7 linked regions of the Mus musculus genome follow. The protein of the gene in region 1 interacts with the protein of each later gene in a biochemical or structural test. Links are inferred from orthologs where the notes say so. Each region holds a gene or a part of one and is shown in the gene's direction. Other genes may lie near its edges.

Evidence for each region.
Region 2: the proteins of Rela (region 1) and Pparg form a complex in vitro, tested with the Homo sapiens proteins (3 studies listed by BioGRID, with this or other methods). The link is inferred for Mus musculus from reciprocal best matches to the Homo sapiens genes RELA and PPARG.
Region 3: the proteins of Rela (region 1) and Hdac1 form a complex in vitro, tested with the Homo sapiens proteins (2 studies listed by BioGRID and IntAct). The link is inferred for Mus musculus from reciprocal best matches to the Homo sapiens genes RELA and HDAC1.
Region 4: the proteins of Rela (region 1) and Pias3 form a complex in vitro, tested with the Homo sapiens proteins (2 studies listed by BioGRID, with this or other methods). The link is inferred for Mus musculus from reciprocal best matches to the Homo sapiens genes RELA and PIAS3.
Region 5: the proteins of Rela (region 1) and Crebbp form a complex in vitro, tested with the Homo sapiens proteins (9 studies listed by BioGRID and IntAct). The link is inferred for Mus musculus from reciprocal best matches to the Homo sapiens genes RELA and CREBBP.
Region 6: the proteins of Rela (region 1) and Cebpb form a complex in vitro, tested with the Homo sapiens proteins (2 studies listed by BioGRID). The link is inferred for Mus musculus from reciprocal best matches to the Homo sapiens genes RELA and CEBPB.
Region 7: of the proteins of Rela (region 1) and Prkaca, one has a biochemical effect on the other in vitro, tested with the Homo sapiens proteins (4 studies listed by BioGRID and IntAct, with this or other methods). The link is inferred for Mus musculus from reciprocal best matches to the Homo sapiens genes RELA and PRKACA.

The regions. Positions count from the first base shown.
Region 1 is NC_000085.6:5,636,154-5,640,340, forward strand, and holds the start of Rela (transcription factor p65), read left to right. Parts: upstream 1-1,387; 5' UTR 1,388-1,681; coding exon 1,682-1,688; intron 1,689-1,810; exon of another isoform or gene 1,811-1,967; coding exon of another isoform or gene 1,968-1,995; intron 1,996-2,278; coding exon 2,279-2,305; intron 2,306-2,397; coding exon 2,398-2,549; intron 2,550-2,701; coding exon 2,702-2,850; intron 2,851-3,705; coding exon 3,706-3,797; intron 3,798-4,149; coding exon 4,150-4,187. UniProt on the Homo sapiens protein: NF-kappa-B is a pleiotropic transcription factor present in almost all cell types and is the endpoint of a series of signal transduction events that are initiated by a vast array of stimuli related to many biological processes such as inflammation, immunity, differentiation, cell growth, tumorigenesis and apoptosis.
Region 2 is NC_000072.6:115,360,965-115,365,148, forward strand, and holds the start of Pparg (peroxisome proliferator-activated receptor gamma), read left to right. Parts: upstream 1-1,384; 5' UTR 1,385-1,453; intron 1,454-4,184. UniProt on the Homo sapiens protein: Nuclear receptor that binds peroxisome proliferators such as hypolipidemic drugs and fatty acids.
Region 3 is NC_000070.6:129,515,604-129,518,646, reverse strand, and holds the end of Hdac1 (histone deacetylase 1), read left to right. Parts: intron 1-525; coding exon 526-634; intron 635-723; coding exon 724-854; intron 855-1,138; coding exon 1,139-1,291; intron 1,292-1,698; coding exon 1,699-1,747; intron 1,748-2,010; coding exon 2,011-2,038; 3' UTR 2,039-2,543; downstream 2,544-3,043. UniProt on the Homo sapiens protein: Histone deacetylase that catalyzes the deacetylation of lysine residues on the N-terminal part of the core histones (H2A, H2B, H3 and H4).
Region 4 is NC_000069.6:96,703,323-96,706,570, forward strand, and holds the end of Pias3 (E3 SUMO-protein ligase PIAS3), read left to right. Parts: intron 1-203; coding exon 204-337; intron 338-416; coding exon 417-585; intron 586-736; coding exon 737-870; intron 871-1,026; coding exon 1,027-1,064; exon of another isoform or gene 1,065-1,526; coding exon 1,527-1,793; 3' UTR 1,794-2,748; downstream 2,749-3,248. Other genes in the region: Nudt17 (nucleoside diphosphate-linked moiety X motif 17), read right to left, coding at 3,047-3,206. UniProt on the Homo sapiens protein: Functions as an E3-type small ubiquitin-like modifier (SUMO) ligase, stabilizing the interaction between UBE2I and the substrate, and as a SUMO-tethering factor.
Region 5 is NC_000082.6:4,091,405-4,094,904, reverse strand, and holds part of Crebbp (histone lysine acetyltransferase CREBBP), read left to right. Parts: intron 1-118; coding exon 119-269; intron 270-584; coding exon 585-731; intron 732-1,319; coding exon 1,320-1,433; intron 1,434-2,549; coding exon 2,550-2,715; intron 2,716-2,945; coding exon 2,946-3,113; intron 3,114-3,500. UniProt on the Homo sapiens protein: Acetylates histones, giving a specific tag for transcriptional activation. Mediates acetylation of histone H3 at 'Lys-18' and 'Lys-27' (H3K18ac and H3K27ac, respectively).
Region 6 is NC_000068.7:167,687,764-167,690,932, forward strand, and holds Cebpb (CCAAT/enhancer-binding protein beta), read left to right. Parts: upstream 1-1,151; 5' UTR 1,152-1,258; coding exon 1,259-2,149; 3' UTR 2,150-2,669; downstream 2,670-3,169. UniProt on the Homo sapiens protein: Important transcription factor regulating the expression of genes involved in immune and inflammatory responses. Also plays a significant role in adipogenesis, as well as in the gluconeogenic pathway, liver regeneration, and hematopoiesis.
Region 7 is NC_000074.6:83,993,461-83,996,944, forward strand, and holds the end of Prkaca (cAMP-dependent protein kinase catalytic subunit alpha), read left to right. Parts: intron 1-1,334; coding exon 1,335-1,499; intron 1,500-1,831; coding exon 1,832-1,957; 3' UTR 1,958-2,984; downstream 2,985-3,484.

The DNA.
Region 1 (4,187 bases):
GTTGCTCTCAAGAGCCCAGAACAGTGTGAGGTCTCCGGAAGCTGCAGTTACAGTTGCTGATAACTGGACTCTGGTCTTCTGCAAGGGCATTATCGACTCTTAACTGATGGGCCATCTCTCCAGCCTGCAACCATCCTTTTTTAAAGAGCATCTTCTGTAGTTCTGGATGGGTTCAAACTATGTAGAGGAGGATGACGTTGAACGTCTGACCCCATGAGCGCTGGGATTACTGGAGCATCCTGGAGTCAGAGATCAAATCCCAGCTTCCTGCAACGTTATGCAAAAACTACTGAGTTCTCATTTCTAGCCTTTACTTTTTAGTAAGGACGCTGGTATTCATATTAACTTAAATTGTAACTATATGTGTTTTTACAAGTGGTTCATGTGAGGACCAATGATGGCTGTGTGCCATTAATTGGAGATTATATTCATTCTGTCGCCTTGACATCCGCCCTCGCAAAATATTAAACTGCTTTTTCTAATCTGCGCCAAGTGAGAAACTGAAATGAGTGGGAGGGGCGTAACTATTTTCACTTTTGTCTTCCTGTTTTTTTCAGAGCCTGGGAAAGCAATTCAGAATTTCCAATCTTTTCCAATTCCCACATGATTTCCTAATTTAGAGAAAATAAGTCTTTCTCTGAGTGCTGAAACCTCCTGTGGCCCGGGAGGCGCCTCCTCCTTCTGGCATAGTGGAGGCAGCCTGATGTGTTGCGTCCTCCGGCCAGAGTCCCCACACTCAATCTGCACACCTGCCCTTGGCTTAGATGGCAATTTTTGCTCCCTACAAACGCTTTCCTCATTGGAGCCTGGACTCCTGGGAGGCCTTGAAGGAGATGTTCACGGTGTGACCCTAGCTGGTTCCGGAGATCCCTAAAGATCTAAACCTTAGCAGACAGCACCTATGTGTGCAGACGAAGCCCTGGGGCTCTTCCAGCACTCATGGCTCTCAGGGACTCTTAGAGGTACAGGTGTCTGCCTAGTCCTCGGTCTGCCCCTCTACCCTAAGGCCTGTCGGATGCAGCACGCTCGCTCCGCGAAGCACTCCTGCGCGCAGCCGGATCTAGGTTGGGGAGCATGTGGCCCGTAGCACGCGGGTCCCCAGAAGGCCCCTGCACGCTTAGGAAAACGTGTGGAATTCAGTCACTGGCCTCCGCGGGAGCAGCAGGCCTGGGCCTCTCCCTGCGCAGGGCGAATGGCCGCAGCCTGCCACCAGCCCTGGCTCGGCTCCAGTCCCGGCCAGGGTGACATCACCAAACTCCTGAGATCAGAGCGGGGCGGGGAACGGGACCCGAAATCCCCTAAAAACAGAGTGAGTAATCGCGGGCCCGCCCTCCAGGCGGGGCCGGGAACGGGACCGGGACCCCGAGCGAGCCGCGCTGCGGAGCTTGTAGTCGGGCCGGCCTCGGGACAAACAGCCTCGGCGTCCTCCCGCCGCGCTGCGGTGTCCCCGCCCGCGCGCCCGCCGCACACCTTCCGCGCCCAGCGTGAGTCGCGCACCTGCTCTCGGCCCCCCACGCGCGGCGGTGGCGGTGGCGGCGGCTCAGCGCGCAGGCGCGGCCGGATTCCGGGCAGTGACGCGACGACGGGCGCGCGCCGCGCATTTCCGCCTCTGGCGAATGGCTTTACTTTAGCGCGCCGTGGGCTCAGCTGCGACCCCGGCCCCGCCCCCGGGACCCTGACCATGGACGGTGAGGCTGCCCTCTGGCTCGGGGGATGGCTGCCCTAGAGCTCCGGGGCCTGCGGCGGAATCTCCCCCCTCCCCGCGCCGTCTTCCGCCCCTTTCTGCGCCGCGGGTTGCTGCGCAGGGAGCGGCAGGCCGGATGGTGGCACGGGGCGGGGCGGGCTGCGAGGGGGTCTGACTCAGTTACCCCTCTCAGTGGAGGGCGCCTTGACTCAGTGTCCCTCCTGGGTGGGGGTACGGGTGAATCTTGACTCCGTTTCCTCCGGCTCCCCCCACCCCCGTGTCGATGCGATTAGTTCTGGCTTCCTTTCCGTGTAAGGAAGAAAGTATCTGACTCAGTTTCCCCAGAAGAGGAGAGGAGGGTATTACCCCCTCCTCAGTGTCACTTATGAACGTAAAACAGGCACTGACTCAGTTTCCCCTGGCAAAGGAATGCCTCTGTGTCCCCTTTCTCTAGTTCCCCGGCCTCTGTCAGGGCAGGTTTCAGGGTCTTGGCTCAGTTTTCTTGGAAGGGAGGGAGCTTGGCTCTGTCAGGCCTTCGCAGGTGAGGGTGGGCACTGGAGTTTATTGACAATGTGCCTTGTCTTTCCCTTTCAGATCTGTTTCCCCTCATCTTTCCCTCAGGTAAGTTGGACCATCCATCCTCAGTAGTCAGGGGCTGTCCTGGAGTCGGGGCCGTGGGGATAGCACCTGATGGCTGACTGTGTCACCCACAGAGCCAGCCCAGGCTTCTGGGCCTTATGTGGAGATCATCGAACAGCCGAAGCAACGGGGCATGCGATTCCGCTATAAATGCGAGGGGCGCTCAGCGGGCAGTATTCCTGGCGAGAGAAGCACAGATACCACCAAGACACACCCCACCATCAAGGTAAGCAAGAGCCCCCAGGGGTGTCGCTGGGACACAGATGTGGTGGAACGCACTGTGCAGCCCCAGCAGACTTGCCTCCTGGTCACCGTGCCCTGTGTCTAAGAGCCAGATTAGGGATTGCTGGCCACTAGAGTACTCTGTACTTTGGACAGATCAATGGCTACACAGGACCAGGAACAGTTCGAATCTCCCTGGTCACCAAGGATCCACCTCACCGGCCTCATCCACATGAACTTGTGGGGAAGGACTGCCGGGATGGCTACTATGAGGCTGACCTCTGCCCAGACCGCAGTATCCATAGGTGAGTTCCCTATGGGCTGGGGGTGGTGTGAGGGCAGGGTAGGAGCAGGCCGGCCAGGCAGCTCTTACAGTGTTGCTCTTTTCTAAACACAGGCAGAATCCAGAGTTCTTAACTCTGTCTCCAGTTTGCAAACAGACCTCCTTTGTCTTGAATTCTCTAACAGTTGGGAACTCCTTATCTTCTTAGAGCCACAAACCCTATGGCTGGACAGGCCAGCCTCTTAGCCTCTTGGATCAGAAAGATATCCAAATGGACCCTCCTAGAGCTTAAATACCAGTTGGTAAAACCAGGCGATAATTGTACAGACAGATAGACGAGATACTGGTAGAGAATTATAACTTCCATGATGGAAAGAAAACACAGTTATAAATTAGGAGGAGGAGTCTGGTCTCAGGAAGCTCAAGCTGGCCTTGAACTCGTTAGGGTTCCCCTGCCTCCTCTTCTCAACTCCAGGGGAATAGGCATGTAGCACCGTGTCCTGCTGCACAGGTCTCACGACTTTGGGTTGGAGGGTTACAGAAGGCCTCTGTGCTAACTCTTAAATGGTGAGAAAAAGCAGACAGACCCAAAAGAACATTCCGTGCACGAGAAAGAAGTACAAAAAAAAGCAAGCAAGCAAGCAAGCAGTACGATGCCCTTGGAAGGGGAGTACGTTCCATTTCGTGTGCTTAGGTCTGGGAAAGGAAGCCCCTGTGGCTGAGGTGGGGCACTGGCTTGGAGGCCTGCGAGGGCCAGCTCCCTCAGAGACTTGCCAGTGGGTAAGGAGTGGGAAGCCTAGACATACCTGAGAGCTGTGGAGTTGGGAGGCAAGAAGGGGCTCTGCTGGAGACACAAAACTAATACCTGAGGCCTCAGCTTCCAGAACCTGGGGATCCAGTGTGTGAAGAAGCGAGACCTGGAGCAAGCCATTAGCCAGCGAATCCAGACCAACAATAACCCCTTTCACGGTAGGAGCAAGGGGCAAAGACATTGATCTTCGTGTGGTGCAAGTATCTCTGTCACCTTCCCTGGGCCTCTGCCGCTCATCTCCCTCCATGGCCAACCCAGCAGCAGGAGTGGAACCTTGCTGCCAGCTTGGCACACACTCACACTCTGCCGTTGAGAGTCAGGCCTAGAGAGGGCTCCTGGAGAGCCGTGATGGATCTAGGGTCTTCCTCCCCTTAGACTTCTGTTTTACATCTCCTCAAATCACCTTCCTCTTTCCTCAGAGCTCCCTGGCCCGTCCCCCCTCCCCCACCCCCAATGCCTTCCACCACAGTGTTTTGTTTTTTGTTTTTGTTGTTTTTTTGTTTTTGACAGTTCCTATAGAGGAGCAGCGCGGGGACTATGACTTGAAT
Region 2 (4,184 bases), on another chromosome or scaffold:
CACCGCCCCCGGTCCGGCCGGGTGGCTCGGCTCGGCTCCTCCGGTCCGCGGCCGGCCAGGCGGGGCCCGTCGCACTCAGAGCGGCAGCCGCCTGGGGCGCTCGGGTCGGGTCGGCCTCACCGACGCACAGCACCCGCCAAGCCGCCGCCTCAGGTCAGAGTCGCCCCGGGCCACGCGGCCCGCCGGAGGGACGCGGAAGAAGAGACCTGGGGCGCTGCGCTGGGGTATTGGGTCGCGCGCAGCCTGAGGGGACCGAGTGTGACGACAAGGTGACCGGGCTGAGGGGACGGGCTGAGGAGAAGTCACACTCTGACAGGAGCCTGTGAGACCAACAGCCTGACGGGGTCTCGGTTGAGGGGACGCGGGCTGAGAAGTCACGTTCTGACAGGACTGTGTGACAGACAAGGTGAGGGGGGGTCTCGGCTTGTGGGGTCTGGATCTGACTGGCTAGGTGACTGGGTCTCCGCTGAGGGGACTCGGGATGAGAAGTCACATTCTGACAGGGCTGCGTAACTGACAGCCTAACCCTGTCTCGACTAGAGGGGATACGGGCTGGAAAGCCACACTCCGACAGGACGGAGAGTGACCAAGTGACAGAATCTTGACTCAAGGGACCCCGGCTGAGGAGAAGGCAAACTCTTGACAGGACCGAATGTGACAGACAAGGTGACAGAGTCTGGGTCTGAGGGGATCGCGCGGGCTGAGGAGAAGTCACACAAGAGAAGAGCGAGAGAGTGATAGCGGGGCGGGGTCGCGGACTCAGGGACAGAGTGAGGGGTCTCGGCTGAGGACCGGTCACCCTCCTGGAGAGCCGAGTGTGACTGACAGGGTGACTGTCCTCGTGAGGGGCACCGGCACGGTGCGGAGGGCCACAGTGCTTCCCTGAGAGGGTGCGCAGGCAGGCATGTGTGTGAGCGCGGAACAGGGTTGCCCCTGTTCCAGACCCTGACAGGAAAGCCAGGTCTCCAGAACTACCGCGTTGGGGACCGCATTGTGCGGATCCTGGTGACAGATTTAGAGAGGGGCTCGCCAGCAGCCACCGGTCGCCCTGAGGCTCTAGGGGTCGGAGGGTGGGGAGGAGGATGCGCCCGTGATCACGGAGGCGATTTGGCCCACGGCCCCCTGCCCGGGGCTCACCAGGTGTGAGGAAAGCGGGGTCACTGTCGCCAAGGCCCCGCCCCGCCAGTGCCCCTCTTCAATCTAAGCAGGGGGCGAGCACAGGGCCCGGCTCACGGGAGTAGGCAGCCCTCGTGCTGGGGGCGGAAGGTGGGTGTGTGGCTCCCGGTGCTTTATGGCTTGGGATTGGGGAGGAGCCTAAGGTGAGGAGGCAGAAACTGGGAGTAGCCTGGGCTGCTTTTATATAAGGGACGCGAGGAGGTCAAGAAGGGGCCTGGACCTCTGCTGGGGATCTGAAGGCTGCAGCGCTAAATTCTTCTTAACTCCCATTGAGTAGGTGAGTGGCCCCATCGTCATCACGTTTTTGTTGGTGTGTGTAGTGAAGTGGCCAAACTGCCCCCAAGTTCTTACACATCAGGATGGTCTGGCTGTGTTCTTGTACTGTTAAGAATCTGCTTTGCTTCTGATGCTAATAGGGGGGAGGTCGTGCCATTTATTTCAGAAGGGAAAAAAGAAAAGTTAAGTTTTCTGTGAGGAAGAGGCTAAAAGGTGTCCCTTTTTAGCAGGATGAAGGACAAAAATGTAAAATTAAATGATCATTTGAAAACAAAACCAGATGAACCAAGTTGTAGGATAGCTAACAGTTGGAAAGCCTCTTGATTTGGAGTTCATTATTGTAATGTCAACTCTTTATTATCATGCACGAAGCAAATTGTTAACTGGAGTTATTAAATGAATAACTTAGTCTTGGACTTGGGCAGGTCTTCCAAAGATATCAGGTGCTCTGTGGGAGTCTTCCTGTCGTCCATAGCTAAGTGATCAATTGCTGACTAAAAATGTAACTAACTCCAGGTGCTCTGTGATTTAAAACCTGGCTAGGGTAGGAACGGATATACGCTATGACTACTCAAAGAGATAGTTCTCTTGCAAGTTTGACAGAAGCACTCATAGATACTACGAGCATTTGGAGCAGCATTTCAGAAGATTGGGTTTCAACTTTAAAATAAGTTCTCTGTTGTCTTATCTTCAACCACATTTGCTCTAAAGTAAATGTCCGAAATATTAATTTTAATATATGAACATTTTAACTCAGTGTCATGCCTTAGTTGGAGTGAAACATATTATAAAGCCCTCGATTTTTATTTTACTGTGTGTTTTGTGTAAATTTGCTCACTCCAGTGCTACTTCATATTTAATTTGCTGAGAACTATATCTTCAGTGAGAAGATCTAAGGAGCAACTGGTGGTCACCTCACGCTTTTGCAGCTCACTAGAAGGGAAAAGATTGTTGACAGTTTTCTTTTTAAGGAAAAAAATCTTTTTCATATGTAAAAGTTTCAAACTCTTCAAACTGTTGAAGAACAATGGCGCCGGTGAAGTCTGAAGTTCTTGATGCCTCTAGGCCGAAGAGTTTTTTGATGCTGTTTCCTCGGTCTTTTATATTTCAAAGATTATAAGTTCTTCTAAACACATTAGAACTAAAAGACCTGGAAACATTATACACATCAATACTTAAGACTACTTTGATATTTTTTGTGATAACTATTTTTTAATAATTAAGTATATTTCCTTTAAAGGAGCTGGTTTTCCTAACATTCATGTCACTACATCTTTCAGAATCACTTTAACAGAAAAGGGCAAATTACACTTTAAAAAAAATCATATCTTTAGTTTCAAAATCCCTATGACATTTAAAATTCATATATGAAAAGCATGACTTTAAATTTTTGACGTAGAAATGGATTATGCAAGTGACTGATTTCAGTTAGTAAGTTTTACATATTTAAATAAATGATTTTTTTTACTTTTAAGTCTCTGAAAAGAATATTCCATCAGTCTTGTCAAGATCCTTCTGTGTGGGGAATATGTAAAGGCACTGTGAAAACATGTATAAGGATCAGCAATGTATTTAACTTACTTTTCAAATTATGAAGTGGTTGCTAATAGAAGGAAACTTACATAAAAATTTTGTTAAAATAATTTACCCAAAAGTCTGAATATTTTCACAGCTTTCACAGGGTCTGTAGGTGCCCGGTGCGTATGGCAAGACATGTTGGCCATTCTAATTTGTGTCTTTCTGCTAAATTTATTGTCATGTGGACTTGGAAATATTCTCTGTGTCATAAAGTGAGGCAAAAATACTGGAAGAATTTTTTTTTTTGCTTTCATAGGATTCCACTAAGTAAATATTGGTAGAAGATTTAAAAAAATACTACACTAGTCAAGACAATTTGATTTAAGTCAATAGTATGTAATTTTAAACATATGCACAACCCACAAATTGTCAAAGTGAATTTCTTTCTTGTTTTTCTTATTTTTGTGGCAAATTTCCCTGTTATCCATTACTTAACTTCACTTTCTTAACGCCTAAATACAGCAAAAAGGGCAGCGGCATGATTGCTTACAAAGGTCACTAGAAACAGAATTAAGTTGACCAAAAAAAAAGCAAGGCCAGTTAAATGTTGGTCTCAATACCAAGGGAGCCTCAAATACTATATATTAGTTAGTTTCATAGCATATGAGGTTTTTTAAAAAAAAAATTAATTTTTTTTCCCCTAAGGTGGTTTTTGTTCATTTCTTGTAATTTTCTCACAATACAGGGGGAGGTTTTTGAGAGTTATACATTATCTATTTTAAATTATATATATTAAATTTAATAAATTATCCAGCACAACTGCATTTATAAGGAGATCTCAAACACAATAGGCCATACTTTGGCGAAATGTACGGTTCATGTTAAGATAATATCTACCACTGGTATGGTATATCCTTAAATCATTATCTTAAGACCTAGCTTTATTCTTACTACTTCTCTTCAGTTATACGTACATATCAATATTTTAATCAAATATTCTGTTTAGAACATGGATGCATATGCTGCTTAACTACTCCAATTATTATGTTCTTTCTAAGTATGGAAAGTTAGGGAAGCTTAAAGTTATGAGTCTTTGTTTCTATTTGCTTGTCTTGGGTATGGTTTTAAGACTTTTATCAGCAAGCCTGGATTTCCTAAACGATAAGAGCTGGGCCCTGAATTTACCCGAGCTGAGATCCTAAAGACAGCCTACC
Region 3 (3,043 bases), on another chromosome or scaffold:
GGACATTGTCAGTCATTCAGATGTTTGATTTACAGTGAATGCAGAGTGCTTAGTGTTCTGCACTGCGGGCTTGGGTCCTTCTCCCCCTAGTGACACATACCCCACTGGTGTGGACACTGGAGAATGGTGTTATAGACATCAGTAGGTCCTAAGTGTAACCCCAGCCTTTAATAAGGAAGCTCGGAGCCGAGCGTGGTGGTGCACACCTTCAATCCCAGCACTTGGGAGGCAGAGGCAGGCGGATTTCTGAGTTCAAAGCCAGCCAGGGCTACACAGAGAAACCCTGTCTTGGAAAACCGGAAAAAAAAAAAAAAAGAAGAAGAAGAAAGCTCTTGGCCGCAGAAAGACTTTATCTCAAAAAGACAAAGCAGAACAGATTAAAACTTTGTATGTGTCCTAGTTTGTTCTGTCTTCTCTTTTTTTAAGTGGGTAAGCAGACCCAGAGAAAGCAAGCTTTCTATGCGTTTCCATGGGCCCGGTGGTGGCCGTGTCTTTATCTTCACTGTTCTCTCCCGTTGCCCGCAGAGCTGCCCTACAACGACTACTTTGAATACTTTGGACCGGATTTCAAGCTTCACATCAGCCCTTCCAACATGACCAACCAGAACACTAACGAGTACCTGGAGAAGATCAAGTGAGTGTGCTGCCAAGTTGTCTCAGTTTAACAGGCCAGTTTCTGACTTGTCTCTGACTACTACAGCCCATCCACCCTCTCTCCTGTAGGCAGCGTCTCTTTGAGAACTTGAGGATGCTGCCCCATGCCCCTGGGGTCCAGATGCAGGCCATCCCTGAGGATGCCATCCCCGAAGAGAGTGGGGATGAAGATGAGGAGGACCCTGACAAACGCATCTCCAGTAAGACTAGCTCCAGGGGCCTGTCCCCTGCTTAGTAGGGAGCTCTGCACTTCCCTTCCTCCTTTTCCCATCTCCAAGCTGCCCAGCTGTGTGCAAACATTTGTTTTGAGACCCCTTGCCTCCACCCGGCTTGGTAGCTTTCCTTGGTGTCTTGATGAGGGGTGCTGGGGATGGAACCCGGGGTCTTCTCATCCAGGCAGGTACTCTGCCACTCAGTATCTGTGGCAGGAAGGCACTGGGCCCCTTGCTCTCATACCAATGTTTCTCTCTCTGCTGCCTCCCAGTCTGCTCCTCTGACAAACGCATTGCCTGTGAGGAAGAGTTCTCGGACTCAGATGAGGAGGGAGAAGGTGGTCGCAAGAACTCTTCTAACTTCAAAAAAGCCAAAAGAGTTAAAACAGAGGATGAGAAAGAGAAAGATCCTGAAGAGAAAAAAGGTGAGTTTGGATTAGATCAGGAAGGAGCTGACCCAGACCCAGCCAGCTCCTTTGGAGCTTAAACTGGAGGTTTGAGTCTTGAGTCTTTCAGTGGCTCCTAGAGGTGGTGAGAACCACAGAACAGTGACAGTGACACTCTTGGTCTCTGCTGGCTGACTGACCCTGGCTCACATACCACCCAAGCCCTTTTCCCAGTTTCCCAGGGGGCTGCCTCTGCCTGTGTTCTTGCTGAAACAGGCTGGGAAACCGGTCTGACCTGTTTTCAGCCAACCTCACCAGAGGACCTGGGATAGGCTTTTCTCATTTTTCTATAACCAGTGAACTGTGGTATTGAAGAAGGGGTTTCAGGATAGAGGAGTCCGACTACCTGAGAAGCCTTCAAGCATACCTGTTCTCTTATTTTCTAGAAGTCACAGAAGAAGAGAAAACCAAGGAGGAGAAGCCAGAAGCCAAAGGGTGAGGAAAGGGGCTGGTGGCTCTCTGTAGCACTAGAGCATCATCACCTTCTGTGTCCTACCTCTGTGAGAGGGAAGGAAGAGCAGGGACAGCTGCTGGTCCAGCCTACAGAGAGAGGCCTCTTTAAGGGTGGAGTCTGTATGTCTCTGCCCAGTTCCCAGCAGTCACCTGGGCAGCCAGGGTCTATGGAAGTCACTATAGCCATGTTTGTGCTTCAGGGCCACTAGCATGAGTTTTCTCATGCCTGTCTGTTCTCTCTGCAGGGTCAAAGAAGAGGTCAAGTTGGCCTGAGCAAGGTCTGCAGCCCCATCTTCTCCCCAAGTTCCTCACTTCTCAGATTTTATATTTTCTATTCCTCTGTGTATTTATATAAAATATATTAACTATAACGTCCCCAGGGACCAGAGCACAGGGCAGTGGTGCTAGGAGGGCTCTTCCCAGAGCGACCTTGTCCATCCTGCCACCCCCCTCCCCCCATTTGCGTGGAAAGAAAACAACCAGAAGAGAAAAATCCTGAACTGCCAAGTGCCTGCTTAGGAGCTCTGCTAAGATGCCCCTGTTAAACTTTTTAGGAGGGGTCTGGGTCTCCTAGGACCCCTTTTCAGGCTTGGGTAATAGCAGCCATTTTTAGATTGGTTCTGTTTATACCTTCCCACCCATCTTGGGCAAACAAAAAAACTTATATTGCCTGTCTTCCCCCAATTCTGTAGGTGGAGGTTGATAGCCTAGCTTCCTTTTTGAGATATTTTCATTTTGTGAAACTCTTTGTAATAAAACAGCTCATTTCTATACCCTCGGCCCTGGTTGGTTTAAGTTCTTCCCCGTCTCTTGTGGGGCGTCACTTGCAGACCTACCTGCCTTTGTCCTCCAGGTCGGTGCAGTCCTCTTACCCACACCCCAGAAGACCACTCAATGAAACATCACTAAAGGGACGACATTTATTCCTTTTCCAAATGTTACAGTAAATCCGGGTGGAAGAATGGTTTTAGCAGTTAGAAAAAAAAAAAGTACAAATCTGGGGTTTGGCCATTAAAAGTTATTTACAACAATGGGAGGGGGAAAAAAAAAGACAACAAGAAGTTGTTTCACATTACAGACCTCCCTCCCTCCTGAAGCCTAACACTTGCTTATCAAGTCAGAGACATGGTTGATTTCACAAGCTGGAGGTTTGAACTTGAGTAAGACATTTATAAAAACCCAGATGGGGCAATGTCCTCCCCAGCCCAGGTGCCACTAGGCACAGCACAAGAGACTAAGAATTCAACAGGGGAAAGGCTGGACACTCAGGGTTTGGGA
Region 4 (3,248 bases), on another chromosome or scaffold:
ATCAGACTCAGCCTGCAGGCTAAGCAGGTGCTCTGTTACTGAGCTACAGTCCCAGCTGTATTCTATCCCAGCAGCAGCTCAGGGAGGTCCAGGAGGGTGGGTGATGCAGATGAGGTGACTAAAGCATAGGAAGTGAGTGTCAGAACACCGTGGGTGGCTCCAGCCGCGTCCAGCCTCGTGAATCCACATGTCCTCCTCCCTAGTTTATTCATGGAAATTCTTAATTCCTGTTCGGATTGTGATGAGATCCAGTTCATGGAAGATGGATCCTGGTGTCCGATGAAACCCAAGAAGGAGGCATCAGAGGTTTGCCCCCCGCCAGGGTATGGGCTGGATGGTGAGTGACCCCCTGCTCCCCAATTGAGCTAAGTCATGGCTGGCCCTTTCTCTGAGACAGCCTTCTTAACCACCCACAGGTCTCCAGTACAGCGCAGTCCAGGAGGGAATTCAGCCAGAGAGTAAGAAGAGGGTCGAAGTCATTGACTTGACCATCGAAAGCTCATCAGATGAGGAGGATTTGCCCCCCACCAAGAAGCACTGCCCTGTCACCTCAGCGGCCATTCCAGCCCTTCCTGGAAGCAAAGGGTATGAGAAAGGTTGCTCCCATAGCAGAGGGACAGAAGTCAGAACTGCCTTCTGGCCACAGGTCGAGCTTTGGGACAGGGAAGAGCAGGCGGAGTGGGACGTGGGGCATCTGCGCTTGGCTAGCTCTCCGGCTCTTTCTCTCCACTCACAGAGCCCTGACCTCTGGTCACCAGCCATCCTCGGTGCTGCGGAGCCCTGCAATGGGCACACTGGGCAGTGACTTCCTGTCTAGTCTCCCGCTACATGAGTACCCACCTGCCTTCCCACTGGGGGCTGACATCCAAGGTAGAACACTGACCCTAAGGTGGAGGGGAGGGTCGTTCCCTGTCACCCTCTCCAGACCTGTTTCTTTGCCGAGCCCCAGGGACAGGGGGATTTTTTTTTCCCCTTGTGGTGAAGGAGTCAGAAGGGAGTTGATTTTGATTTTTCTTTTCCTACCAGGTTTAGATTTATTTTCTTTCCTTCAGACTGAGAGTCAGGTAAGTGGCCATGTTTAGGAAGATCCAAGATCTCGGAAGAGTCCATTCTAGACACATGATGTGCTCTTCCCCTGCCCAGTGTCCCTAGGGATTTAAAAATGCTTTCCTGTGAGGGGAGAACATGGTCCTTTCCCTGCCCCCGTCACTCCATAGTCACACCTGTGATTTCGTAGCCCCACTCTTCCTGCTCACTCACCCCCACACGGACTCAGAACCTTCCCTAGTGGATGTTCCACACATTTCAGACACCCACAAGGCCAAGAACTGGATGTCTGAAGGGGCTGTCTCAAGGCAAGGCACAGGAGAAGGGTCTGGGGGAGTAGGGTGGAGGCAGAGGTTCCCAGCTTTTCTTCTCAAGAATGCTGTATGATCCCTGAGGGCTGGTACCCCACGAGGTGGTTCTGAGGTGAGTGAGGTGCTGAGTCAAGACAACACGTCAAGCTGTGCCCTTCATCTCTCCAGCACTACGGCCCTTCAGTTATCACTTCGCTAGATGAACAGGACACCCTTGGCCACTTCTTCCAGTACCGGGGAACCCCTTCCCACTTCCTGGGCCCACTGGCCCCCACACTGGGGAGCTCTCACCGCAGCTCCACTCCAGCGCCCCCTCCTGGTCGTGTCAGCAGCATTGTGGCTCCTGGGAGCTCCTTGAGGGAAGGGCATGGAGGACCCCTGCCTTCAGGTCCCTCTTTGACTGGCTGTCGGTCAGACGTCATTTCCTTGGACTGAGCTTTTTGGATTATGAAATCAATCTCCATTGGCCCCAGCACTGAGCAGATCACGTTGTGGGTTCCGAACCCCTGGCTGCTCTGATCCCTCAGGGGTCATTGGCCAAAGGCCAGGCCAGAGCTTCATGGATACCTGCTTTTGGCCTTATCGCTGCCTAACAGGCCAGTACTCACAGGGTTAACATTTAACCTTTTTATGGTGGCACATTCCTCTGGGTATGGTAACCTAGGCAGTGGGAGGCAGATGGGATAGGGACTGAGGGATGAGGGGGTCCTTAGCCTTTACCAGATCTTCAGCCTCTTGGGGAAAGGCACTTTCCTGCCTCCTCTCCCAAGACTCTCCGTTCCCTACCCAAACCCAAATATCTGGTCTTTGACATCCATTCCGTTCTCTTTGACCATACAGTCGGGCGACAGGTCAGAGATGGACAGAGAACTCTATTTTGGATTGCAGATTTCTTTTTTGTACATAAATAAGAAAACTCCAAAGCATCCAAAGATGAAATCCCTTGCCTTTCACTCCCCAGTGTGACTCGAGGAGGAAACAAGGCCTTAGTTGTGATTCCCAGGGGCTGGGGAGCAAGGCGTGGCCTGTCTGCTGCCTGGGTCTCTATTTATATATTTAAGTTCACAATGTTTTTATGCTAAACAGCCAAGGGGCGAAGCGTCTAGTGGCCTGTGTTCAGGCCTGGATTACTCTTGCACCTTTTGTGGGACATGGGGGCTCTGTGTTCTCCTCCCCAATACTCAGGCCCCTTCCTTCAGGGCCAAGGCCCTGTGATGTGATTTTACTTTTATTCCCAAAGTTGTAGCAGAGTTCTCGCCTACAATAAAGGTTGTGAATGTTCTGTGAGCGTCATGGAGGGGAAGGGATGTTGTACCTCGCTTTCCAGACCCAGGGTTTGTGGGGCAGAGGGTCCATGTTCCATCCTTTCACTTAAAAAAAAAAAAAGAACATTTAAAGTGTTTATTACTGTGTATGCGGGCACGTGCACCATGGTTTTGCACGTGGAAGTCAGAGGGCAGCTTTATGGAGTAGGGCCTCTCCTTCCATCTCGAAGGACATCCCAGGTCTTGGGTTGACAGGCTTCCTTTGCTGGTCTGTGGTCTGTGTGGACGTCACTTTTACCTGGGAGGGAGTGTGGGCATTCGCACAAGCATAGCCAAGAGCAGTTGCTTTCTCTTTGTTTCTTTGATGTCCCTAAAAACATCATCTGGTACCAAGACTATGCTACCCGCAAGTCGGTCCTTACCTCATCTGCCCAGATGTTGCAACCAGAGCTGGAGGGCAAACTTGGTTCCAGCGCCGATCCTCTCTTTGTCCTCCTCTGCTGTGGTTGGGGTTGTCCGCATGAGTGTGGGCATGGGCAGGACCAGAGGTTGGGTTCCTCCATCGTCCTTCAGTTCGGTTGCACTGGATTATAACAGTTTCTGTCTGGGTTGTGCCTTGTAGCTT
Region 5 (3,500 bases), on another chromosome or scaffold:
TAATGTCACAGGATGGCACTCTTATGTTCTTACAAAACAACTGTTAGTCCTTGAAAGTAGCAAAGGTGAAATAGTCTCAACAGCTCTGCCTAATCTTATTCATTCAAAACTCTTTTAGGGCTGCAGACCACACGATTGGGAAACCACTTAGAAGACAGAGTGAATAAGTTTTTGCGGCGCCAGAATCACCCTGAAGCTGGGGAGGTTTTTGTCAGAGTGGTGGCCAGCTCAGACAAGACTGTGGAGGTCAAGCCGGGAATGAAGTCAAGGTTTGTGTTCTTTCTTCCTGTCCTAAACTGTGACTAGACCCTACCCTGTCTTTGGAGGACTCAAGTGTGACGTCTTTATACAGAAGCTTTGTGGCAGCTAGCATGTGACTTTCTTTTCTGAATCCCAGTTTATTAGCAGAGATGTCCCTCCCTTCCCTAAGAAACAGGACTAGGAAGAGCTACCATACAGCCCTGAAACTGCTATGGCTGTTGTTGCAGGAGGTTGCCAAGCCTTGAGCTCTTTGACAGAGCAGGCTTAGCTCAGGAGCAGTTGGAACACAACACTTGTAAACACCAGGTTTTGGCTTGTTTCAGGTTTGTGGATTCTGGAGAGATGTCGGAATCTTTCCCATATCGTACCAAAGCACTCTTTGCTTTTGAGGAGATCGATGGAGTCGATGTGTGCTTTTTTGGGATGCATGTGCAAGAATACGGCTCTGATTGCCCCCCACCAAATACAAGGTAGTCTTCCATCTTACTTCTGAATGTGTCTTTTAGCCCTATTTTGTATGATCAAGGCTCAGGTTTATTTAAGCTGTATATTTTGGTGCTAGATTAAGATAAAGCCATAGCTAACTGACTTATACAGTTAGTTTTTGTTTTGTTGTGTTGTTACTGATGCTGTTTGCTTGTTTGTTTGTCCCAGTAAACTCTTAGGGGAGGAAGGGTCCTGGTAGTAGTGTTGCATGCTTTTTGTGTGTGTGGCCTTAGTCTTGTTTTGTCTTACCAAAGATAGTCACTTGGGGGCTAGGGTAGCAACAGCTAGATGCCCTGCTCAAACTAACTGCCTCTAGTCCAGAGTTAGTTTTAGTCTGGACTTTGGGTGAGTGGGGAAAAAAAAGTGGATTTTCCTAAGTTGCCCTCCCCGGGGAGGGGGGTTAGTTTCCATATCTTTTGTTGGATAACAGAATATTACTTCTGTTTCAGTTACATGGCCTGTGACTACTATCAAACCCGATTTCTGGGGGTTTTTAGGTGTTGGTATTTGTGTTCAATCTTGAGGGGCACCTGAAGTTAAATAAAAATGACACCGCTTTCTATCCTCCACAGGCGTGTATACATATCTTATCTGGACAGTATTCATTTCTTCCGGCCCCGCTGCCTCCGGACAGCTGTTTACCATGAGATCCTCATCGGATATCTCGAGTATGTGAAGAAATTGGGGTGAGTCTGGATTAGTCAGAATCAATAAAAACATTTTTTGTCTATTTTGTGAAATAGTAAGTTTTTCTCATCGAGTTTTATGTGTTTTATTCTAACATATCAAGGTTGGTTCAGAAGTTTGCTGAGGTTCCCATGCGTCCAGAGCACAGTGTCTACTCTGCTTTTGCTTGCTTTTCCTTTTTTTTCCACTTTATTGAGGCATAATCTTCATATCATGCTTTTTGCCTCTGTTTCAGGTCTCGGAGTCGATGGTTTTTAGTGTTGTTGGTAACTGGTGTAACTATTCCCATTGGTCAGTCTCCAAGCACCCTCACTCCCACACAGAGCCCTGTGCCCTCTTGCTGCTACTGCCTGTCCTGCCCCTGCTCGCAGACAACCATTCATCGACTTTGTGTCTGCACATTTCTCTTTTTTGGTCTTCTGTTAGAATTGGCAGTCATGATTCAATACACAGTGTTTCTGTTTATACATATTTTCCCAAACCTGAAAGTGTTTGCTTAAGCGTCTTACACAGAGTAGCTAAGATTTGTTTGACATGAATTACCTTCCTGAGCTGCCTTTCCAGTGCACAGGAGGAGGAAGTAAGAAGGAAACATCCCTTAACTCTGTCCCGCCAAACTCAGCTCCATGCATTTCTGAGAGCAAAGTGCTCAGAACTGAATCTAGGGTTGAATTTGCAAGTGACGAAGACAACACCTCCACTCTCCCTCCCTCCCCCCCATTCACATACTGGTTTGGAGCCCAAGTATTTTATAAGAATTACACTAGCATTATGGTTGTGTCTTTTATTTTTGTCTGTCTTCATATTTATTTCTGACCTTTCTTTTTTTTTTTTTTTTTTTTTGGTTTTTGGTTTTTCAAGACAGGGTTTCTCTGTGTAGCCCTGGCTGTCCTGGAACTCACTCTGTAGACCAGGCTGGCCTCGAACTCAGAAATCCACCTGCCTCTGCCTCCCGAGTGCTGGGATCAAAGGCGTGCACCACCACGCCTGGCTACTGTCCTTTCTTTAGTTCCTTAAGTTCATTAAGTTGCTTAAGTTCTTAAGCTACAGTTCATCAAAAGTAGATCTGAATTTACTGACACTTCTGTCTGGCTTTTTTCGTATGTATCCTGTAGGTATGTGACAGGACATATTTGGGCCTGTCCCCCAAGTGAAGGAGATGACTATATCTTTCATTGCCACCCCCCTGACCAGAAAATCCCCAAACCAAAACGACTACAGGAGTGGTACAAGAAGATGCTGGACAAGGCGTTTGCAGAGAGGATCATTAACGACTATAAGGTAATCCTGCTGAAGGAGGGCGCTGGGCTTGTCACAGCTGATTGACATACATTGTGTATTTTCTTCTGGCACTCTGCTTTATCATTATGATCACTTACAAGAAATAGAAAGCAAGAGCCTGGAAGCATCTGGTGAAACTGCAGAATGAACTGCACAGTTGGTCAAAGCAGTGGGCCTTTCAAGCAGTCACCCCAGGAACCTCACCCCACCTCTGTTCTGCCTCCTCCCAGGACATCTTCAAACAAGCGAACGAAGACAGGCTCACGAGTGCCAAGGAGTTGCCCTATTTTGAAGGAGATTTCTGGCCTAATGTGTTGGAAGAAAGCATTAAGGAACTAGAACAAGAAGAAGAAGAAAGGAAAAAAGAAGAGAGTACTGCAGCGAGTGAGACTCCTGAGGTATAGCCCCCTACTAGAGCTGTGCCACCAGAGTGGCAGGCTGGAAGTATACGCTTGCTATACTATTTCTGTGGTGATGTTCTCATTCACATACATAGAATATCACCAACAATGATAAGCAGATGTGATGTCTCTATACAAGAGATACTTCCTAGGGGCCTAGTGGTTAGACCTGGAGAGTAGAGGAGAGAAGTAATGTCTTATTGGAGCCAGAAAAGTACATGGAGGAAGGTGGAATTTACTTGCAAGTGTTCTGAAAGTTACTGCAACTGATCTTCTGGCCTTGTGCTAAACCTTGTGGCAGCTCATTTTGTGTTGCCTTTTATCCCCCCTTTCTCAATTTGTTCACTGTTTGCTGTCCCTCTGTACCAGGGAGTACAGAGTGAA
Region 6 (3,169 bases), on another chromosome or scaffold:
AGCGTCTTACCCTTTCCCTCCCTGCCCCCCACCCCCAAGGGCACAGGGAGATGTCATTTCTCCAGCTCTTGGGGGCGGAGGTCACCCCAGCTCAGCAGATAACACCGAAGGTTGAGCAACACCCCGCCAGCTTGCCGGGGCCAGGGCTGGGGTCAATGGGTCGGGGGTCAGCCCCTGACAGGTTGGCAGCTCCTGCTTGAGTGGCCCACCTAGGAGTGGCAGAAGGGTGGGCCCCAAGAGTTGCCCTGGGCGTCCTCAAAAGGGTCTCACCGGAGAGAGGCTGGTGATCCCAGCCCATTCAAGTGCACGGGGTGGAGGGGTTGCCTCCCCAGCTTGCAGGGTGACCGCTGGGTCCTTATGGCTGGAGTGGGGTCTACCATGCTCCCACCGCAATCACCTGAGAAGCCTCTGGGCAGGGCTGTGCAGGTCTTAGGAAGGCATCGTACTTCTCGGGGGTCCGTTTGTCTCTGATGACACCACTACTAACAATACCAACACTGTCCACGGAGGGAACTCAGAAGCAAAGTGACTCACCCAGACACAGTGTGGCAGAACCCCCAGCCCTGCCACCTTCATGGAGAGGCGCAGGGAGTGGCGTAGGCAGGTGCGGTAGGCGGGCCATACATAGGGTGGAGGGCTGGGATCCAGGACAGCGAGCATCCCCGGGGTGGGCGTGCACCTGGAGAGTTCTGCTTCCCAGGAGTTGGGGGGGGGGTCCCAGAGGTGTGGGCAGCACCTGGGTGGGAGGACATGCACCCCGTGGAAGGCTGCTTCCAGGGAATTGGGGCCCGGGGACAGCGGGCAGGATCCGAGGGTTGGGGTCGTGTAGCTGGAGGAACGATCTGTTTCCCAAGAGTTGGGGGTCCGGGACAGCGGACCGGAGCCGGGACGAGCCACCGCGTCCTCCAGCAGGGGGCGGGCGGCGGCCGCGCTCCTCCGTGTTCCCGAGGGGCGGGAAGGGGGCGGGCTGGCGTCACCCGCGTCCGTGGCCATCGCGGGGCTGGCGGGACGCCCGGGTCACCGCTCAGCCTCCCGCGCGAGGACCCCCGCCGCGCCCCACTCCCCGCCGCGCCCTCTCGCGCTCCCGTGGCCGGGCAATGACGCGCACCGACCGGGTGGCGGGGCGGCGGGAGGGGCCCCAGCGTGACGCAGCCCGTTGCCAGGCGCCGCCTTATAAACCTCCCGCTCGGCCGCCGCCGCGCCGAGTCCGAGCCGCGCACGGGACCGGGACGCAGCGGAGCCCGCGGGCCCCGCGTTCATGCACCGCCTGCTGGCCTGGGACGCAGCATGCCTCCCGCCGCCGCCCGCCGCCTTTAGACCCATGGAAGTGGCCAACTTCTACTACGAGCCCGACTGCCTGGCCTACGGGGCCAAGGCGGCCCGCGCCGCGCCGCGCGCCCCCGCCGCCGAGCCGGCCATTGGCGAGCACGAGCGCGCCATCGACTTCAGCCCCTACCTGGAGCCGCTCGCGCCCGCCGCGGACTTCGCCGCGCCCGCGCCCGCGCACCACGACTTCCTCTCCGACCTCTTCGCCGACGACTACGGCGCCAAGCCGAGCAAGAAGCCGGCCGACTACGGTTACGTGAGCCTCGGCCGCGCGGGCGCCAAGGCCGCGCCGCCCGCCTGCTTCCCGCCGCCGCCTCCCGCCGCGCTCAAGGCGGAGCCGGGCTTCGAACCCGCGGACTGCAAGCGCGCGGACGACGCGCCCGCCATGGCGGCCGGTTTCCCGTTCGCCCTGCGCGCCTACCTGGGCTACCAGGCGACGCCGAGCGGCAGCAGCGGCAGCCTGTCCACGTCGTCGTCGTCCAGCCCGCCCGGCACGCCGAGCCCCGCCGACGCCAAGGCCGCGCCCGCCGCCTGCTTCGCGGGGCCGCCGGCCGCGCCCGCCAAGGCCAAGGCCAAGAAGACGGTGGACAAGCTGAGCGACGAGTACAAGATGCGGCGCGAGCGCAACAACATCGCGGTGCGCAAGAGCCGCGACAAGGCCAAGATGCGCAACCTGGAGACGCAGCACAAGGTGCTGGAGCTGACGGCGGAGAACGAGCGGCTGCAGAAGAAGGTGGAGCAGCTGTCGCGAGAGCTCAGCACCCTGCGGAACTTGTTCAAGCAGCTGCCCGAGCCGCTGCTGGCCTCGGCGGGCCACTGCTAGCGCGGCGCGGGTGGCGTGGGGGGCGCCGCGGCCACCCTGGGCACCGTGCGCCCTGCCCCGCGCGCTCCGGCCCCGCGCGCGCGCCCGGACCACCGTGCGTGCCCTGCGCGCACCTGCACCTGCACCGAGGGGACACCGCGGGCACACCGCGGGCACCGCGCGCACGCACCTGCACAGCGCACCGGGTTTCGGGACTTGATGCAATCCGGATCAAACGTGGCTGAGCGCGTGTGGACACGGGACTGACGCAACACACGTGTAACTGTCAGCCGGGCCCTGAGTAATCACTTAAAGATGTTCCTGCGGGGTTGTTGATGTTTTTGGTTTTGTTTTTGTTTTTTGTTTTGTTTTGTTTTTTTTTTTGGTCTTATTATTTTTTTTGTATTATATAAAAAAGTTCTATTTCTATGAGAAAAGAGGCGTATGTATATTTTGAGAACCTTTTCCGTTTCGAGCATTAAAGTGAAGACATTTTAATAAACTTTTTTGGAGAATGTTTAAAAGCCTTTTGGGGGCAGTAGTTGGCTTTTGAAAAAAAATTTTTTTTCTTCCCTCCCGACTTTGGATTTATGCGAGATTTTGTTTTTGTGTTTCTGGTGTGTAGGGGGCTGCGGGTTATTTTTGGGTTGTGTGTGGCGGTGGGTGGGGGTGTCGCATCTGGGCTTTTCTCTTCCCATGGCAGATGGGGTGTCAGCCCCTCCCCCCAGGAGAGGGGGCAGAGTGCCAGGTCAGGAATTCAGGGTGACTCAGCACCCACGGGTGCTGGGGGACTTGCTAGAAACCCTGCTTGGGACGGGCCGCCCTCGGCTTGGTTTGAGTGTCAGACTTGTGTTGAGAGGACTAGACATTCTGTAGGAAAGGCTAGTCCAGACAGCTGGGTCAGGGCAGGTGAGTTCTGTGTGTTTGGTGGTGTGGGGGAGACCGCACGCCTGTTTGGTGTCTGTGTCCCTGTGTAGCTGGAAGAGAGATTGGGCCGAGAGGAAGGTGAAGGGAACACTTCCTACTCTGCTTTCCCTTTCT
Region 7 (3,484 bases), on another chromosome or scaffold:
TGTAAATCCAGAGGAAGCGTGCAGAATTGTATAAGAGCTTTTGGAGGTACATGACTGGGTGAACCATACAAGCTATTTTATCCAGGCTGAGGAACTACCCTTATTTTCGAAGCCCTCGGAGCCCTCAGAGGAGCTGCCTGAAGGATCCCAGCGAGGATACAAGTCTGCAGACCTAAGAATGGAACCTCCTACAGTTCTGTTCCCTGCGACCTTACCCAGAATTCCCGAGCCAGCAAACTAAGGAGGGCATTCAACATGTTTTTTTTTTTTGTTTGCATGGCCACTGGGCCTAAAGGCAGAGCCCTGTGTATGTTGGGCTCCGACCTGCCCCAGCGCTGTAGTGCTAGCTCCAACAAGCCATCTCTGTTTATATTTTATCTACTTTAATTTGTGTGTCTGTATGTGCATGTGTACACATGCATACAGTAACCTTGGAGGCCAAAGGCATTAGATCCCCTAAGAATGGAGTTACAGGTGGTTATAGGCCAATGGAGGTCCTGGGAACAAACCAGGACCTTTGCAAGAACAAAGCCATCTGTTAGTGCAGCAATGAGTTTTTGGGTTTTTTGAGACAGGTATTCTTATGTAGCCTTGGCTGGTCTTGCCGTATAGATCAAGCTGGCCTTAAACTCACATCACAGAGATCCACTTGCCTGACTGGATGCTGATGTTGAGATTATCTGTGAGTGCCACCGCACTCTAACAAGCCATTGTTTTGTTGTTTTTTGAGTGTTTCCCCCCCCCCCCTTGGTTTTTTTTTCTTCTTCTACTTCTTCCTCTTTTTTTTTTTTTTTTCTTTTCGGAGACAGGGTTTGTTTGTTTGGCCCTGGCTGTCCTGGAACTCCCTCTGTAAACTAGACTGGCCACAAACTCACAGAGATACACATGCCTTGGACTCCCAAGTGCTGGGATTAAAGGCATGGGCCACCACTGCCCAGCCCCACAAGCCTTCTTAACAGATTCTCCCTGTAGGCCTATTGGATAGAACAGGTCCTAGTCTGCCAGGTACAGTGGTACATACTCTACACTAGCACTCAGGAGGCTAGGAGACAGGATTGTGTGGTTAAGGCCAGTTTGAGCTACACATTAAGATCCTTTCTCACCCAGTACGGTGGTGTACACGTTTAATCCCAGTACTTGGAAGGATAGGTGGATCTCTGAGTTTGAAGGCAGCCTGGTCTACAGAGAGTTTCAGGACAGCCAGGGCTACACAGAGAAACCTTGTCTGCGGTATCAGAGGAGGGGGTGGGAATTGTGTCAAAAATGGAGAAGGTGGCATTCTGGACCCCCAAAGCCTATGAGCAGCGCCCCACTCGTATCTACACCCCTTCCAGGTGCGGTTCCCATCCCACTTCAGCTCTGACTTGAAGGACCTGCTGCGGAACCTTCTGCAGGTGGATCTCACCAAGCGCTTTGGGAACCTCAAGAACGGGGTCAATGACATCAAGAACCACAAGTGGTTTGCCACGACTGACTGGATTGCCATCTATCAGAGAAAGGTGGGCTTCTTTTTCCCATACCCAAAGTTGGACTTACGGCTAGGATAGCATAGACAGCCCATTAAGTTCCAGACTAAACAGAAGGCTTCCTCAAGCCAGTAAGGGACTATACATGGTGGATACTGGGTTTTTCTGGCCACTTTGTGGTCTTAGGCAGGAAATATCCTCTGGGAAGTGACTTCCATTTGATAAGTTGGGTTGCAGAGAAGACCTTAATGTTGAGCTCAGGCCTGGGTCACAGCAAGTGTTGTTTGAATATTAAGCCATTCACCTTTATTGTTGTGATGGTAAGGTCAGCTAATGTGATCTGGGTGGTTTTGATTCCTATCCAGGTGGAAGCTCCCTTCATACCAAAGTTTAAAGGCCCTGGGGACACGAGTAACTTTGACGACTATGAGGAGGAAGAGATCCGGGTCTCCATCAATGAGAAGTGTGGCAAGGAGTTTACTGAGTTTTAGGGGTGTGCTTGTGCCCCTTGGGTTCTCTTTCATTTTTTCTTTTTCTTTCTATTTTTTTTCCGGTTGGGGGTGGGAGGGTTGGATCGAACAGCCAGAGGGCCCTAGAGTTCCATGCATCTAATTTAACATCCACTCCACACCCCCAGGGTTAAGGAGAGCAGGAAAGCGCTCCAGATACTGGGGAAGGGGCAACATCAGCTGCTCCCCCTCTCCCTTCTTCTCCACCCTTCCCTGCCTGTTTTCAATGAATTTCTTAGCTCCAGCCATACCCAATCTTGCTGGTGTATCCAGGGGCAGGGTACGGAAAGAGGGCCCCAAATTCAGCCTCCTTCCCGACCCTAGCACTGGATACTAAGGATGAACGAACAGTAACGCCAACCTTCCCTTCCATGCAGCCCTACCTGGAAAGGGAGATTTTATGACCTGTACAGAGGGCTGCTTGCCAGTGGGGTTTTTTTTTTTTTTCATTTAAATTAAGTTCCACCAGTGCCTCCCACCCTCCAAACTGTCCCACCCTCCCCAAACACCCTCCTCACTCCCTAAATCCATTCTGATGAGACCCGGGTAGCCAACTGACCCTGTCAAGGAAGGAACTGGGCTTGGAATCTCGCCCTGAGCTGCTAGCCTCCCGGCCCCCCTTTCCAGTGGTCTCATGCCAATTGTCCTGTGCATCAGCCCCCTTAAGAAGCCTCCCCCATCCTGGGCGCCTCGCTTCTAGCTTAGCTGTCAGCTGTCCATCACCTCTTGCCGTGCGTCCCCACTCACTGCAACCCCAAGTCTGATTGTGCTTTTTCTCTCAATAGAAAGGTGGGGAGCTGCTGGGGAAATTACCCCATTTATCCCTGTGTTTATCCCTCTCGTAACTTCTCCCAAAAAGGAGGAGCTCTCAGGCCTGGGTGGGGGCCCCGGGTGGACGAGGGGGTCGTTCAACCTGTGTGCTTCGAAGGATGAGACTTCCTCTTGAACAGTGTGCTGTTGTAAACATATTTGAAAACTATTACCAATAAAGTTTTGTTTTAAAATAAAAGTGTCGCTGGTTTTCCCGACTTCGATCACACCCTTGGGGTGTTGGAAAGGGAATTTCGAACCTCAATGTCCAGGTTCTGGAGACCCCGGCCTCGGGACCTTGGAGAAACCAGGTTTGGCTGGAATTCCTGTACTTCCTCCGCCTGGCCAGAGAAAGGAGGGGTGGGGTGGGCAAACTGTCCTTTGACCCTGAGTTCGGGGCCCTCAAATCTGCTCCCACCCCTACTTCGGTCTAGTCCGGGACAGAGAGGGCACTGGAGAGGGCCACTCGGACCGGTTCGGCCAAACAGCAGCAGGATTAGCAGGGTAGGAGAAAAGGGGAGCCCCGCGCGCCCCCAAGCCCTCATGTAGGCGCGGCAGGGCCGCTGGTGAGGTCTCCGCGGCTTCCCAGGAGCGAGGCGCGTCCGGCCGCGGCGCGGCTAGTTCCCGGTAAGTGCGGTCCCGAGAGCGCTGAGCGCGGAGAGGCGTGGAGAGGGGGCTGGGCGCCGAGGACGTCTGGGT